Oryctolagus cuniculus: one gene and its partners. The protein of the gene in region 1 binds, or shares a complex with, the protein of each later gene. Links are inferred from orthologs where the notes say so. Each region holds a gene or a part of one and is shown on either strand. Other genes may lie near its edges. The genes, in order: GIPC1, MYO6 and PLXND1.

The links.
Region 2: the proteins of GIPC1 (region 1) and MYO6 are in contact, whole or in part, in a crystal structure (PDB 5V6E), measured with the Mus musculus proteins. The link is inferred for Oryctolagus cuniculus from reciprocal best matches to the Homo sapiens genes GIPC1 and MYO6. Residues at the interface, in NP_061241.1 of Mus musculus: Glu273, Ser274, Tyr275, Met276, Gly277, Ile278, Arg279, Asp280, Glu282, Leu283, Thr286, Asp310, Phe311, Ala312, Pro314, Glu316; in NP_001034635.2 of Mus musculus: Ser1055, Lys1056, Trp1057, Lys1058, Tyr1059, Ala1060, Arg1084, Arg1085, Leu1086, Val1088, Tyr1089, Trp1092, Lys1093, Asn1096.
Region 3: the proteins of GIPC1 (region 1) and PLXND1 are in contact, whole or in part, in a crystal structure (PDB 5V6T), measured with the Mus musculus proteins. The link is inferred for Oryctolagus cuniculus from reciprocal best matches to the Homo sapiens genes GIPC1 and PLXND1. Residues at the interface, in NP_061241.1 of Mus musculus: His61, Glu141, Ala142, Leu143, Gly144, Leu145, Thr146, Ile147, Thr148, Asp149, Asn150, Gly151, Phe156, Lys158, Arg159, Arg190, His191, Tyr192, Glu193, Ala195, Arg196, Leu198, Lys199; in NP_080652.2 of Mus musculus: Glu1400, Met1889, Glu1893, Arg1899, Gln1902, Gln1904, His1905, Glu1908, Ile1918, Tyr1919, Cys1921, Tyr1922, Ser1923, Glu1924, Ala1925.

Annotation. Positions count from the first base shown.
Region 1 is NC_091447.1:63,120,735-63,124,993, reverse strand, and holds part of GIPC1 (PDZ domain-containing protein GIPC1), read left to right. Parts: 5' UTR 1-33; intron 34-1,454; 5' UTR 1,455-1,539; intron 1,540-3,239; 5' UTR 3,240-3,268; coding exon 3,269-3,556; intron 3,557-4,259. UniProt on the Homo sapiens protein: May be involved in G protein-linked signaling.
Region 2 is NC_091436.1:96,688,486-96,693,321, reverse strand, and holds the start of MYO6 (unconventional myosin-VI), read left to right. Parts: upstream 1-1,526; 5' UTR 1,527-1,763; intron 1,764-1,882; exon of another isoform or gene 1,883-1,905; intron 1,906-4,836. UniProt on the Homo sapiens protein: Myosins are actin-based motor molecules with ATPase activity. Unconventional myosins serve in intracellular movements. Myosin 6 is a reverse-direction motor protein that moves towards the minus-end of actin filaments.
Region 3 is NC_091441.1:114,290,640-114,295,462, forward strand, and holds the start of PLXND1 (plexin-D1), read left to right. Parts: upstream 1-1,785; 5' UTR 1,786-1,915; coding exon 1,916-3,253; intron 3,254-4,823. UniProt on the Homo sapiens protein: Cell surface receptor for SEMA4A and for class 3 semaphorins, such as SEMA3A, SEMA3C and SEMA3E. Plays an important role in cell-cell signaling, and in regulating the migration of a wide spectrum of cell types.

The DNA of each region.
Region 1 (4,259 bases):
CAAAGTGAGCTCAGCCCCGCAGCCACGCAGCTGGTAAGTGGCAGCGGTGGGATTTGAACCCACGGCCCGGGAGGCAGCTAATGAGTCCCCCCCACACTCCCATCTCCTCACCACCATTACTCTCCTGGCACTAGTGAGGACCCGGAAGCTGGCCCACAGCAAGGTGGCTGCCGGCTATGGGTGGAGAAAGGACGGATCAGCACTCGAGGAAGACAGGGTCCTGGGCAGTGAGGCCTCGGGGGGCCTGATCAACTATTGTTGCAAATAATAGTCACTAGCACTCAATACAGCCTGCGCTGGGAGCTGGAATGTTCCAGGCTCCTGGGAGCTCAGAGAGGTTAAGACCCCTGCTCTGAGCCACACAGCCCCCTGCCTCCCATGAGTGCTGAGAGATGGCGAGAGTTGGGTTCTTGTTTGTTGTTTTAGCGTCATGAGCTTGGTGGGATAACTTGAGGGAGTAGGCTGCTTTGTCAAATACTCAGCGAGTGCCTACCATGTGCTAGACCACGATGACTGCTATGGGTAGGAAGGCTGGAGAACCGGTGAAAGGCTTGTATCCATCATATAAAGAGTTCTCCCAAATGAATAAGAAAAAAGCCACATGTTTAAATGCATTTACTCATCTTCTCTTTATTTAGAAGGGAGAGAGAGAGAGAGAAAGAGAGAGCAAGCTTTCATTCTTTGGTTTGCCTCCCAAATGCCTACAACAGTCAGGGCTGGGCCAGGCCAAAGCCAGGAGCCAGGAGCTCCATCCAGGTCTCCCCTGTGGGTGGCAGGGACCCAGCTCCTTGAGCCCTTGCCTGCTGCCCGCTCCCCCCCCACCCCCCCGGCGCACATTAGCAGGAAGCCAGGTCAGAGGCAGAGCTGGGAACTGACCCTGGCCCTTGGATGTGGGATGCGGGGGTCCTGAGCCGGGTCCTCACTGCTGAGCCGCCGCTCACAAAAAGGCCAAGGCAAGCAGTTGAAAGCTGCATAGACTGAAACAGGTGAGGGGGACGCTTTCCTTGTGTCTGACAACATAAGCACCTACTGTGCGCCAGGCTCCGCGCTGAGAGGTGAAGTGTGCAGAGACCACAGAGTGGAAGGGGACGGCCTGTGCTTTGCTGATGTGACAAGGCCGGGAGGCCACCGCCTGGTCTTCCCCGGAGCCGGGCACTGCAACCGGCTGGCTAGCCAGCACTGGGCCCACTCATTCGTCCACTCATGGACTCAGCCAGCGTCTACTGATGTCTGTTCTATGGATGGAGGGCTGAGAAGATGCCACGCCCCCTCAGAGGCGGGTGTGGGGGATGGGGTGGGAGGCAGAATCAGAGGGAGCAGCCTGTTCAAAGGCCCTGAGGCCTGACTGTGGCCCTCGTGGCTGGGCATGTGGGCAGCGGGTGGGTGGGGCTTCAGGGGGCCCTGTGGGCCAGCGGGGAGCCCCGGGACTCCCGCGACCTGCTCACGTCTTACAGGATCATTCTGGCTGCTGTCTCCTACGAGCCAGGGGAGTGAAGGCGGAAGCCAGGAGACCCTGAAGAGGCGACCGCGCTGGTCTCGGTGAGACAGACCAATGAATGAATGAGTGAATGAATGAATGAGCGGACGCATGCGTACACGAAGCAGCCCAAAGTCCCTTGGACACAGGGAACTAGAATCAGGCGGCTACTCGCCGGCCCCTCCCCTCAGGAAGGGGCGTGGCTGACCAAGCCTCTGCTTAGGGCACAGCACCCCGGTCATGAACTTGGCCCTGGGGGTGCACCTGCACTCTGGGCAGTAGCATTGGCGGCCCCAGTGCCTGGGCTCCTGCACACCCACGTGAGGGACCCAGATGGAGCTCCTGGCTCCGGGCTTCAGCCTGGCCCAGCCCCGGCTGCTGTCGGCATGCGGGGAGTGGACCAGCGGGTGGCCGATGTCTCTCTCTCTCTGCCTTTTACATAGAAATAACTCTACACAAGGGAATCGGCAAAATGAAATCTGACCTGAGCCCCAGTGTGGCCTCCAAAAAAGTTTTGTACCAAAATAAAGTTGAGCTTTTTTTTTTTTTTAAAGAAAAAGATGTATTTACTTAGTTGAAAGGCAGAGTGAGAAAGAGAGAGAGAGAGAGGTCTTCCACCTGCTGGTTCACTCCCCAAATGCCCACAAAAGCCAGGGATGGGCCAGCCCCACCTGTAGGCTGAACCCACAGATGGAAGACCTCTCTCTCTCTCTCTCTCTCTCTCTCCCCCTCTTCCCCTCTCCCCCCCCCCAGCCTCCCATCACTCTGCCTTTCAAACAGATACAGAAAGAAATAAAGCTCTTTTTTAAAAAAGAAAAAAAAAGACCAAACCCCAGCCCCTCCTCTGGGCAGGCTGCTGCCCACACCTCATCACACCAAGGAATGCGGCTTGGCAGGCAGAGCGTAGGCCGAACCCCAGTCCCACGTGACACCTGGCTTGTGCACGGTCAACAACCTGTGCGACAGTACATGCAGGCTATAGTCAGGGACCTTGCTTCTCATATTGAAGGTAACATTTTATTTATTTTTTAAGGATTTATTTATTTTTAATTTGAAATGGCAGAGTCAGAGAGAGAGAGAGAGAGAGAGAGAGAGGTTCTCCATCCACTGGTTTGCCCTCCAAATGACCGCAATGGCTATGGCTGGACCAGACCAAAGCCAGGAGCCAGGAGTGTCCTCTGGGTCTCCCATGCACGTGCAGGGGCCCAAGCACTTGGGCCATCCTCTACTGCTTTCCCAGGTCACAGCAGAGAGCTGGATCGGAAGTGGAGCAGCCGGGACACCAACTGGTGCCCCTATGGGATGCCGGCACTGCAGGCGGTGGCTTTACCTGCTGCACCACAGCGCCTGTGGCTGCCATATACCCTCTGCCGCCTGGCTGGAGGCGCCACTCAGGGCGCGGCCACCGTGTGGCACACGTGGTGGGGGAAGAGACACAGCCCTGGTGGTTCTCACTGCAGCCATTCGGGGCTTCCGCCCAGGGTGTGGTCCCTCGCCCGCCCTCCTGGCTCCTTGGCCAGAGCTTAGTCGCGCTATCAGCCATGAGCCTCCGTCTTCCCATCTGGTAAATGGGCACGGGGCTGACCTGGCCGGGAGCGCTGAGCCACGGACTCAGAGCACACTGAAAAAGTTTCAAAAAAGTAGTAAAACTCTGGCCGTCCTTGGTAGGTGCAAGGACTGTCATCGGGCGAACACCGCAGCCGTGGGTGCCCGCGGATACCGGGGGCTCTGGCCCTGACTCCCCTTCCCGCGCCCCGCGCAGGTCTCCCCGGGGCGGATCTCCCCTCGCTCATGCCGCTAGGACTGGGGCGGCGGAAAAAGGCGCCGCCTCTGGTGGAGAATGAGGAAGCTGAGCCGGGCCGCGGCGGGCTGGGCGTGGGCGAGCCGGGGCCCCTGGGCGGCGGCGGCGCGGGCGGACCTCAGCTGGGCCTGCCCCCGCCGCCACCGGCCCTGCGGCCCCGCCTCGTGTTCCACACCCAGCTGGCGCACGGCAGCCCCACGGGCCGCATCGAGGGCTTCACCAACGTCAAGGAACTCTATGGCAAGATCGCCGAGGCCTTCCGCCTGCCGGCCGCCGAGGTACGCACTGCTGGGCGCCGCAGCGGCAGGTGCACCTGCGCGCAGCCGGCACTGGAGGGCGGGGCCCCAGGGTTTTGTGGGAGATGAGGGCTGGGGCTTCGGGCTGCCTTCCCATCAGGCATTGCGAGGCCTGGGCCCAGTGGATTGTGGGGAGCCGCAGGCTCCATATGAATTCTGGCTTCCCATGGGGCACAGGGAGGCCTGGGCCCAGAGGCTTGTGGGAGGTGAGGGCTGCGGCTTGGGGCTGACTTCCTGTCAGGCATTGCGAGGCGCGGTCCCCGGTGGATTGTGGGGGCTGCCCGCCCCCCGGGCTGGAAGCTGAGTTCCCATAAGGCCTTGGGAGGGGGCCTTTGTCCTAGTGGGTTGTGGAGTGGTGGGGGAAGGGAGACATGATTCCAGCTGAATACTGAGTTCCAGTTGGCACTGGGAGACCTGGCCCCAGTGGATTGTGGGAAACGAGAGCGAGCCACGGCGGGAAGCTGACTTCCCATCAGGCATTGTGAGGCATGGGCCCCAGTTGATTGTGGGGTGTGGGGTCTGATGGCCCCCGGGCTGGAAACTGAGTTCCCATAAGGCCTTGGGAGGGGGCCTTTGTCCTAGTGGGTTATGGGGGGCAGGGAGAGGTGCTAATAGGCACAGCTGAATACTGAGCCCCCATCAGGCATTAGGAGGCCTGGGCCCCAGTGGATTGTGGGAGATGAGG
Region 2 (4,836 bases), on another chromosome or scaffold:
CAGTGGTGAACCGGGAACCAGCTGACCAATGAAAAGGCATTCAAATTCAGCTCACACAAAAAATCTCATAGTCTGTGAGTAGTGGTTAAATTAAATGGGATTTTATGAGACATTTTAAGGGGTCTGGACTTAGAATAAGGAGGGTGCAGTACTGCTCTATAGGAGTTTAAATAGAGGAGTAGATACGAAGAGTTTTATCAATGATGAACTAGTGGAGACTGAATTTAAAGGGGACGAGTTTGCAGTCTGGGAAACTGCTTATGTGCCAAGGGCAGTGTGCAAGTCTTGAAATGATGGCGGCCGGGAACACGATACTTGTAGTGGTTATGAAGAGGAATTGGATACATTAAAGAATTACAGAGCTAGAAGCAGAGGGACTCAGTTACAGATTATCCAATCTGTGGGGGGTGGGGAGGAAGAGATGTAAGTGATAAGCCACAGAAACTAGTCAAAATAAATTGGCTTCTATTAACTTCCCGAAGGCTTTTAATATTAAATCCAAAATTAATTCAAAGCGGTAAACTAAGTCTTCATTTTTTTTTCTTCTTTCCTTTTGAATCGACTGAAGACTTATCTTGTGGCAATCTGGAAATAAACTTCCGAGATTGCTATGAATTATTTCCTTGCTTGGTTTCGCTTCCTCTTTCTTACTTCTCCATCTTTTTCTCAATGTTTTATTATTTTGGTTGTATGCTACAATATCTCATCAGAACTTAGCCTTTCCACCCAGAGATCTGGGGGAACCTTTGACATCTGATGCTACGTGTTTCTCCTGTAAATTTCCGGAAGTTTCCCCGTTGCTACTTTTACATGTTGCGGAAAACAGTGTAGTGCTTACGTGTTAAGTATTTTAGTTTCAGCAGAAATATCTAGCATTACATTTATTTCATTTTCTTAACTGGAACTTCTTTTCGTCCTAAAAGCAACGTAGTAGCAGACTGCGTAGTTTCCTCGTATAAAACAAATTTGCATAGGTGCTTCATATTTATAAGAACAGTAAAATCTAAGTGACCGGGAAGACAGGGGCTCTTCAAAATAAAACACCCGGGATGGACACTCAGAGATTTCCATCTCAGCCCCCTCCTGCTAAGGCAGGAATGGCGAACTATTTGCGCAGGAAGGCTGATACCCACGCAGGGCAGCCCACCCGGACTATGGCCGAGATCGCCAGGGTCTCTCCTCGCGACCCCCTGGTGTCTCGGGGGTCCTCGCCCTGTCTCGGACGCACTTTCTCTCTCCTGGAGCTCACTGCGGTTTGCACGCTGCACATTCCCGCGATCCAGTCGGCAGCGACTGGAAACAATATCCGCTGCGTAGGCGCCGTTTCGCTTGGAGAGGAGCGAAGGCGCCCAGCTTGGCCAGCTGCACCCCTCCCACGCCGAGCAGCACCCACCCACGCCGCGGCCTCCACGCCGGCTGGCAGGACAGCCCCACTCCGCTCGGGAGCGCGCCCCGCGCCCGCGCACCCCGTCGGCCCGCCCCGGCCCTTGGCGCCCCCGCCCCCTCGGGCGCTCCGTAGCCGTGACGTGTGCGCGGCGGGGCCGGGGACTCTGTGGGGCGCCGGCCGGCGGGCGGAGACCGACCCGGGATCTGTCCGAGCAGGAAGCAAGCAGTAGCCTGGCCGCCGCCGCCGCCGCAGCCCCGTCCTGGTGCAGTCCGCGTCGTCGTTCTTCCCGATCCCCTCGGCACCCCTAACCCCGCCCTCCGGCTTCACCGGCGACAGGTAGCCCCGCCGCCGCGCACCTGCCTTCGCTGCAGCACCGGTGAGTGTCCGCGCCCGGGACACTGTGGGGCGGCCGCGCCAGGACGCTTTTTTCCTGGCTCGGCCTTGCTTCGAGGCCTTCTCTGACCGCCCTGGGGCTGAAGACTCGGCTCACCTCTGAGGAACGCGGTTGGGACCAACAGGTGATGGGTGGGCCGGGGCGGTGGCGGCTCACCGTCCTGCCAGGGTGGTTCTCATTTCCAGACAGACAATGAGAGTCTCCTTTCATGGGCTTGTCATCACCAAGGTACCTTTGTGTTTCTTCCCTGGCTCCAAGGTAGAAGCATAGCACTCAGGTGTCCAACTCTGCCTTGCACACTGCGCGATAGTTTTTTTTTTTTTTTTCTCTTTTGTAAACTCGCTTAAGATTCAGGGCAGGAAGAGTACAGTTCGTTCTGAGATGTGAAATGATACCATTAATAGTTTAATCATGTTGAAGACCAAGTTGGGACTTAGTATTTTTGCTGTCTGGGAGGTCCAGTACCTTGAGTATGTTAATTTACAGATATGTTACCGGAAAGATCACTTTTTTCTGTTTGCAAAAACTTAATGAGGTGAAAAAGTTAAGACTCCAGGATCTCAATTTTAGTTAGGAAGCCGTTTGATAGGGTTATTGCTAGAACATCCTTGTCTGAAATATTGCCATAGTTTTCAGAAAGCTTGGTTCGTTTTATTTGGCGTAAAGTATGTGGTGGAAGGATGCTTAAAACCTAATCTACAGATATTAGTGAAGAAGTAGGAACACTTCTCCAATTTAATAGACTGTTGTACGTGCTAAATAAAAGTGATTTGCTGTTATGCTCTGCTGGTATGGATTTATTATATCTAAGTATAGTCAGACTTTGAGAGTTTGAAAAATTAATATGCTTTAAAGCTTACTTGAAACTATCTTCACACCATAAAATGTGAATCTTGGACTGGTAGTGGTCATGGTACAAAGGTTGACGGCAAAGCAGCATTTCTGTACAAATTAACTGCACTTCATAGATCTCTTGGGTTGTGTATTTCCAATTGGGAAATATTCAGTGAAAAAAATTACCTCCATGCCTTTTATCATTAATTTTAGAAACTGCTACAAATGTTACAAAGTGGGCTTTAGCCAGAGCTTCAAACAATGCAGTCGTTCAAAATAGCTCATTGACTTTTAAATAATTCAGCTCATTTGAGTATTTTCAGTTAAGCAGGAATTGCATCCACAGTGGTAAACAGGGGTCATTTTAGTCTTATGCAGATTTGCCCATTGCATTGTATTTTCTATGTGACATGATACTGCTCTCACAGCTCTTTAAGTTACATTTTTGTTTTCAAAAACTAATGGTAAAAGGTAGTAACAGAAAGAAAAGATGATCATGCTTAAACATTTTTGTAATGAGCAATTATAATATTTAATGTAAATAATATGAGGTAGTAAAAACAAAGATCTTAAATCATAGCCCATGGGCTGATGTGAAATGTACTTTTTCCCTGTTTATATTTACGTAATCAAGTTTTAAAATAACAGTGGCCAGGAAATCTGAGAGAGGCTGAAGGCTCTTTTCTCATCCTGTTGTGACTTTGCCTGGAGTCTGTGGTGTATCATGTAGCCCATTGTTTAGACAACTGGGCTTTATCTGGGTCTGAAAATGCAGCTTTCTTCAGAAAGTTTTAAAGATTTTGACTGTGAGATTTGAATTCATATAAGCACCAAATATGTTTTAAAAATAAGGACTTATTTGACTTTCTGTTGATAATTGAAGCTCCACCTTTGATCATGTAGGTCAATTTGAAAATTTTTTTACCCTTTCTGAAATGTTAACTTATATATGTTAAAATAATTAGAAAAGAGATTTGTAAAAGTATTACAGCTTTAAGTAATCTCATACACTTTAATTATGGTCCCCATAATGAGATACTTTATAACCATTTGTGAATTGGCCTTTTAGTGTATAAGAGCATCACCCATGTAGTAGGGATCTGCAGTAATTAGAACCCAGACTGAGGGGCTTGATCTACAAAATAGATTTCAGAGGGTGGTGGTCTGGTCTTTTTAAGGAGAAGTGCATTGAGGCTCAGAGAATTAAATACTTACTCAAAGGTATGTAGCTCCAGAGGGGCAAAGTCTGGGCTCACACCTTGAGTCTGCTAACTTTGAAGTCCCTATCCTTCCTGCCTGAATAGGTTGCCTTGCTTCCATTTCATATGGGCTTTTCATCTAACTCTACAGAACTGCTGCTGTGTTCAAGATGTAGAAGACCGGATCCTGAAATAGATGCCGTAGATGCTCTATACCGAGAATGTAGTTCTGGAACCAACTGAGAATTCTGTGTCTGTCTGCATTCTCAAGTGGACAGTCTTGAATGATGCTGCTTTATCATTTCTGGTGTAGTTCCAGAGTCTTAAACAAATTTGTGTACCTCTTATTTTGATGGGTTTAGAGGAACAAGAGTTAGACTATAACACTGGCCATGTTTTAAATATTAGATAATTAACTACTGTAATCTTAAGGGAAAAGAACTTGTTTGGAGAGTATGTTGAAATTGTCATCTACAGTGTTATATTATTTCATGTAATATATATATTACAAGTCCATCTACAGCATTATATTATTTCATGAATATATATTACAGTGTCATCTACAGTGTTATATTATTTCATGAATATCCCTTGAACCTTAATAGACACAAAGGACAAAAATGAGCACATAAAGTTCTTTTGTAACAAATTAGAAGTCATACATTTCAGCAGTAGAATGTAGTTGGGTAAATGAGCAAAAAAAGACTGCATTGGGTGGTGACTGCTTTTGTAGGTGGTTTAATTATTTGGATTTAACTGTTAAGGATTTTACATCTCAATGGTACTATATTCAACTGTAAAACAAAACCACCTTCCGGGGGTATAATATAAATTATTAATGGATGATCTGTGACACCCACATCACCTTTTCTGTTGTTGTTGTTCTCTCAGGAACTAAGTAAAATTATCCTAAGATCTACTTTTGAGGTGTTTTATAATGTTCAGAGGAACCACAATCTTTTGCATTTAAAAGTTGTGCTTTGTTTTGAAAAATTATAGTGGACTGGAAGTAATCTTAAAAT
Region 3 (4,823 bases), on another chromosome or scaffold:
GAGTCCCAGCGGTCAGCTTGGCAGGGAGTTGGTGCCCAAAGCTGCCGGGCCTCCGCCGAGCGCAGTCTGAGCGAAGACGCGGAGCAGTATCCTCAGGGCTCAGTGGGGGGAGCTGCAGGATACAGGAAGGAAACCAGAAGGGGCCGAGGGGGCCGAGCCGGGGCGGGCGGGGGCCGGGGAGGGAGGCAGAGACGCTCGCTCGCCTCGGCAGGCAGGGACGGGAGACCGGGAGGGCGGGGGCGACCAGGAACGAGAGGCGACAGAAAACCCGGGAGCCGGCCGGGCAAGGCTGGAGGAGCGGGGACGGGCGGAGGACGCCGCAGGGCTGCGGCGCCGGGCAGGGTGGGAGCCAATGTTCTGAGGCGGCCCCGGCCAGTCCTGCCTGGCTCCCCAGCCTGCTCCCGCGGGGGGCAGCGCCCTCCCCACGCCACAGAGACAGAGGCAGGGACTTCAGTCCTCTCGGGGAGTCCCCAGGTGGCCCTGAGCCCCCCTGACTCTGATACCCCCCTTTCCTGCTGCAGGACAACGCTGGCCATCGGAGCAGTACCAGGCCAGGGGACAGGGGTGGAACAGGCTGGCAGAGGACAGGAAGACCAGGGTGCTGGGCAGAGGAAGTGCGGGGTGGGAGTGGGGGTGGCTGCAAGCCCAGCCTTTCCTGCCTGCCCCATGGAGCACAGAGACACCCCCTGGCCTGCCTTCCTGGCGGGGCGGGGACAAGGCCACCCACCAGGCACCATGTGGCCCCTGGGGGTCTCACAGGAGACCCTGCTGGCAGACTCCATGGCTCTGCCCCTCACGAGCTGTCTCCGTCTCTCTCTGGGTCCTCAGTTTCTGTATCCGGGAGATGGGGTGACCATGGCACCAGGCTCCTGTGTGGACGAAGTGTTGGTCCAGGTGACCAGCACTGCGCAGTGCCTGGCACGAGGCCAGCCCTGCTAAGCACCCACGGTGCCCCAGCTGCTGTGGACGGCTCTCATTCCAGCCCTGCGACCCCAGAACCACTGCGGCCCGGTTCCCACCCAGCGCTCGCTCGCCCCCCAAGGTGAAGGAAGCCTGCCCCATGCCAGCTCACATGTGGCAAATCTTGCATAAGTCTAGGAGGACTGCAGTTTCAAATCCTTGCAGGATCCCTGACAAAAGTAAAGCGCTGGGCTCAGTGGGAGGGTGGCCGCCCACAGACCTGGATCTCCCCAGGAGGCAACTGTCCAGCAGGCCTAAGCCCTAGGCTTCCTCTCTTCACACACCCTCTCTGCTGGTTTGCAGGCACTGCTCTCCGTTCCCCGCTCCTTGTAAACTCCTTCCCTGGGCTTGGGTCTGGGGCATGGATCATGGGGTGTGGGCGGCCTGGCGAAGCCGGGGACAGAAAAACCGACTGGGGAGGGAAGAACGAGACAGGGTAGGGGTGGGGGCGGGGTCGACAGAAGTGGGAGGGCCAGGCAGACACCGAGAGAAGGGAGCGGAGACCGAGGGGAGCGAGGAGGCGCGACCCACACGGAGTTGAGGGGGACAGGACGGACAGAGACGCGGGGCGCGCAGCGGGGAAGAGGAGACCGCGCCCGAGAGCCTGGGGTACGCAGAGCCGCGGGGGCGGCGGCGGAGTCCCGCGGGGACACGGGGCAGCACGATCCCCCGACAGCCGCCGCAAGGCCGGCGGCGCGGGGCGGGGCGGGCGCCGGGGAGCCGGGGCGGGCGCCGGGGGCGGGGCCGCCGCGGAGCCGCCCCCGTCCCGCCCCCCGGGCTGTGCCGCGCGCGAGGCTGAGCCGGGCCGGGGCGCCGGGGCCGGGGGCGGCTGGCGCGGGCAGGAAGCGCCTCGCGGCCCGGGCCCGCCCCCCGCCTCCCGCCGCCTCCGGACTCCGGCTCCCGGCCGCGCCTCGCCCCATGCACTCGCCGCGCCGCGCAGCCCGCGCACGCCCGGATGGCTCGTCGCGCCGCGGGCGGCGCAGCCCCTAGCTCCCGGGCCGCCGCGGCCGGGCCCCCGCCGCTGCTGCCGCCGCCGCCGCCGCGCCGTCCGCTCCGGGGGGCCCCGCGGTGCCCGCTGCCGCTGCTCCTGCTGGTGCTGGGGGCTGCGCAGGTCGGCGCCCTGGAGATCCAGCGCCGCTTCCCCTCGCCCACGCCCACCAACAACTTCGCCCTGGACGGCGCGGCGGGCACCGTGTACCTGGCCGCCGTGAACCGCCTGTACCAGCTGTCGGGCGCCAACCTGAGCCTGGAGGCCGAGGCGGCCGTGGGCCCGGTGGCCGACAGCCCGCTGTGCCACGCCCCGCAGCTGCCACAGGCCTCGTGCGAGCACCCGCGGCGCCTCACCGACAACTACAACAAGATCCTGCAGCTGGACCCGGGCCAGGGCCTGGTGGTCGTGTGCGGCTCCATCTACCAGGGCTTCTGCCAGCTGCGGCGCCGGGGCAACATCTCGGCCGTGGCCGTGGCCTTCCCGCCCGCCGCGCCGCCCGCCGAGCCCGTGGCCGTGTTCCCCAGCATGCTCAACGTGGCCGCCAACCACGCGAACGCGTCCACCGTGGCGCTGGTGCTGCCGCCGGCCGCCGGCGCGGGGGGCAGCCGCCTGCTCGTGGGCGCCACGTACACCGGCTACGGCAGCGCCTTCTTCCCGCGCAACCGCAGCCTGGAGGACCACCGCTTCGAGAACACGCCAGAGATCTCCATCCGCTCGCTGGACGCGCGCGGCGACCTGGCCAAGCTCTTCACCTTCGACCTCAACCCCTCCGACGACAACATCCTCAAGATCAAGCAGGGCGCCAAGGAGCAGCACAAGCTGGGCTTCGTGAGCGCCTTCCTGCACCCGCCCGACCCGCCGCCCGGCGTGCCGTCCTACGCGTACCTGGCGCTCAACAGCGAGGCGCGTGCGGGCGACAAGGAGAGCCAGGCGCGGAGCCTGCTGGCGCGCATCTGCCTGCCCCGCGGCGCCGGCGGCGACGCCAAGAAGCTCACCGAATCCTACATCCAGCTGGGTTTGCAGTGCGCGGGGGGCGCGGGCCGCGGCGACCTCTACAGCCGCCTGGTGTCCGTCTTCCCCGCGCGGGAGCTGCTCTTCGCCGTGTTCGAGCGGCCCCAGGGGGCCCCGGCGGCCCGCGCCGCGCCGGCCGCGCTCTGCGCCTTCCGCTTCGCCGACGTGCGGGCCGCCATCCGCGCCGCGCGCACCGCCTGCTTCGTGGAGCCCGCGCCCGACGTGGTGGCCGTGCTGGACAGCGTGGTGCAGGGCACCGGGCCGGCCTGCGAGCGCAAGCGCAATATCCAGGTACGGGCCCGGTGGCGGGGCGCGGGGAGCGGGAGCCTGCGGGGCACCCGGCAAGCCGTGCGCCGCCAGCAGGTCGCAGGCGTGAGAGTGCCGGGAACCAGGTGTGCGCTCCAGGTCGCAGGTGCATGGACACGGATCCAGGTGCTCACGGGGGGACCCAGGTGTCCGCCCGGGGTGGGTGGGGTGGAGGAGAGGGTAACCGGGTGAGTGCTGGGTTATCGCGGGGCACTTATCCAGATGTGCTTGGAGGGGTCCAGGCTGCCACAGAGAACCAGAGGTTCACAGACAGCCAGATGTGCACATGGGGCTCACAGGTGCACGTGAGCATCTCTCTGGTCAAAGGTGTGAGTGCCTGGACCAGCTGTGTGAGTCCATCAGGGCTGCTGGTGCCGCCAGGTGACAGACGTGTGCCTGGGTGTGGCAGGTGTGCAGGGACCCTGCAGATTCGGGGGTGGTGGCAAAGCGCGAGTGACAAAGGTGTGTGCCCCAGATGTGTGTGCCAGTGGGCGGGGCCTGTGGGAGTATCGGCAGGCAGGTGCCTGTGGGGACACTGGCACAATGAGTACCTGAGCGGCAGGGGACACAGGTGTTTGGGAACCAGTAGGTCCTCGGGGAAGGCCACAGGGTTGGTAAAAACGTGAGGCCAGCTTTTGTGCCCTCATTCAACCGATACGGTGTACAGAGCATTAGTCCCAGCAAGCACCAGGTAGACAGCAGGCTGTGGAGTCCCCGCTAGGCGCATCGCCACAGGTCCTAACTCAGGAGTTCTTCCTGTTTACCATGAAGAAGCCAGCACAGGGAGGTTAGTAACTCGCTCAAGGTCACACAGCTGGGGACTAGCAGAGGTGGGCCGGGAATCTTGGCTTTGTAACCTCAGCATCTGCGTTCTTCATGCTGAGGCCCTGCTGCCATAGGACACAGAGCGGGTGTGTGTGCGTGCGTGTGTGTGTGGTGTAGACGCTGAGTGTGTGTGTGCGTGTGTATGCATGTGCGAGTGTGCGTGTGTATGCATGTGCGAGTGTGTGTGTGTGCATGTGTACGTGTGTGTGTGGTGTGGAGCGTGTGTGCTGCCCTTGGGGACATGACGCAGCAGTGCGGGAGGCCGGAGGGGATTCACGAAGGGCACCAGCAGGGCCCTGGGGCGGGGCTGCTCCCTCCCCTTGCCCACTTTGAGGGTCCCCCACCCCCCCTCCTGGTGACTGCCCAGCCCCTCTTGGGGCCCTGCGGTGGCTGTGACAAGAATCTCCTAAGATTAATGGTCGCCCTGTGGGCGTGCCCAGCGCTGGGCCGTTGAGAAAACACAGATTTCTTCTCGCAGACTCAGGCTCCCACGACTGCCCAGCGCCCAGCCGGCCGCCCTGCAGGTGAAGGCCCTGCAGGGTGAGCGGGCAGGGCCCCAGGGAGCCACGACACCGCCAGGGCTGGCTGCCCAGCTGCGGTCGGGACACCCACCGTTTCCTTCCCCAGGGCCGACTCTGGCTGTGTCTGTGGCACTGGGGTCTCAGGGCTGGAGGAGGGGAATGGGGACCCTGCTCTGCACCCTCCAGCCGGCCCAGCAGCTCCAGGCCTT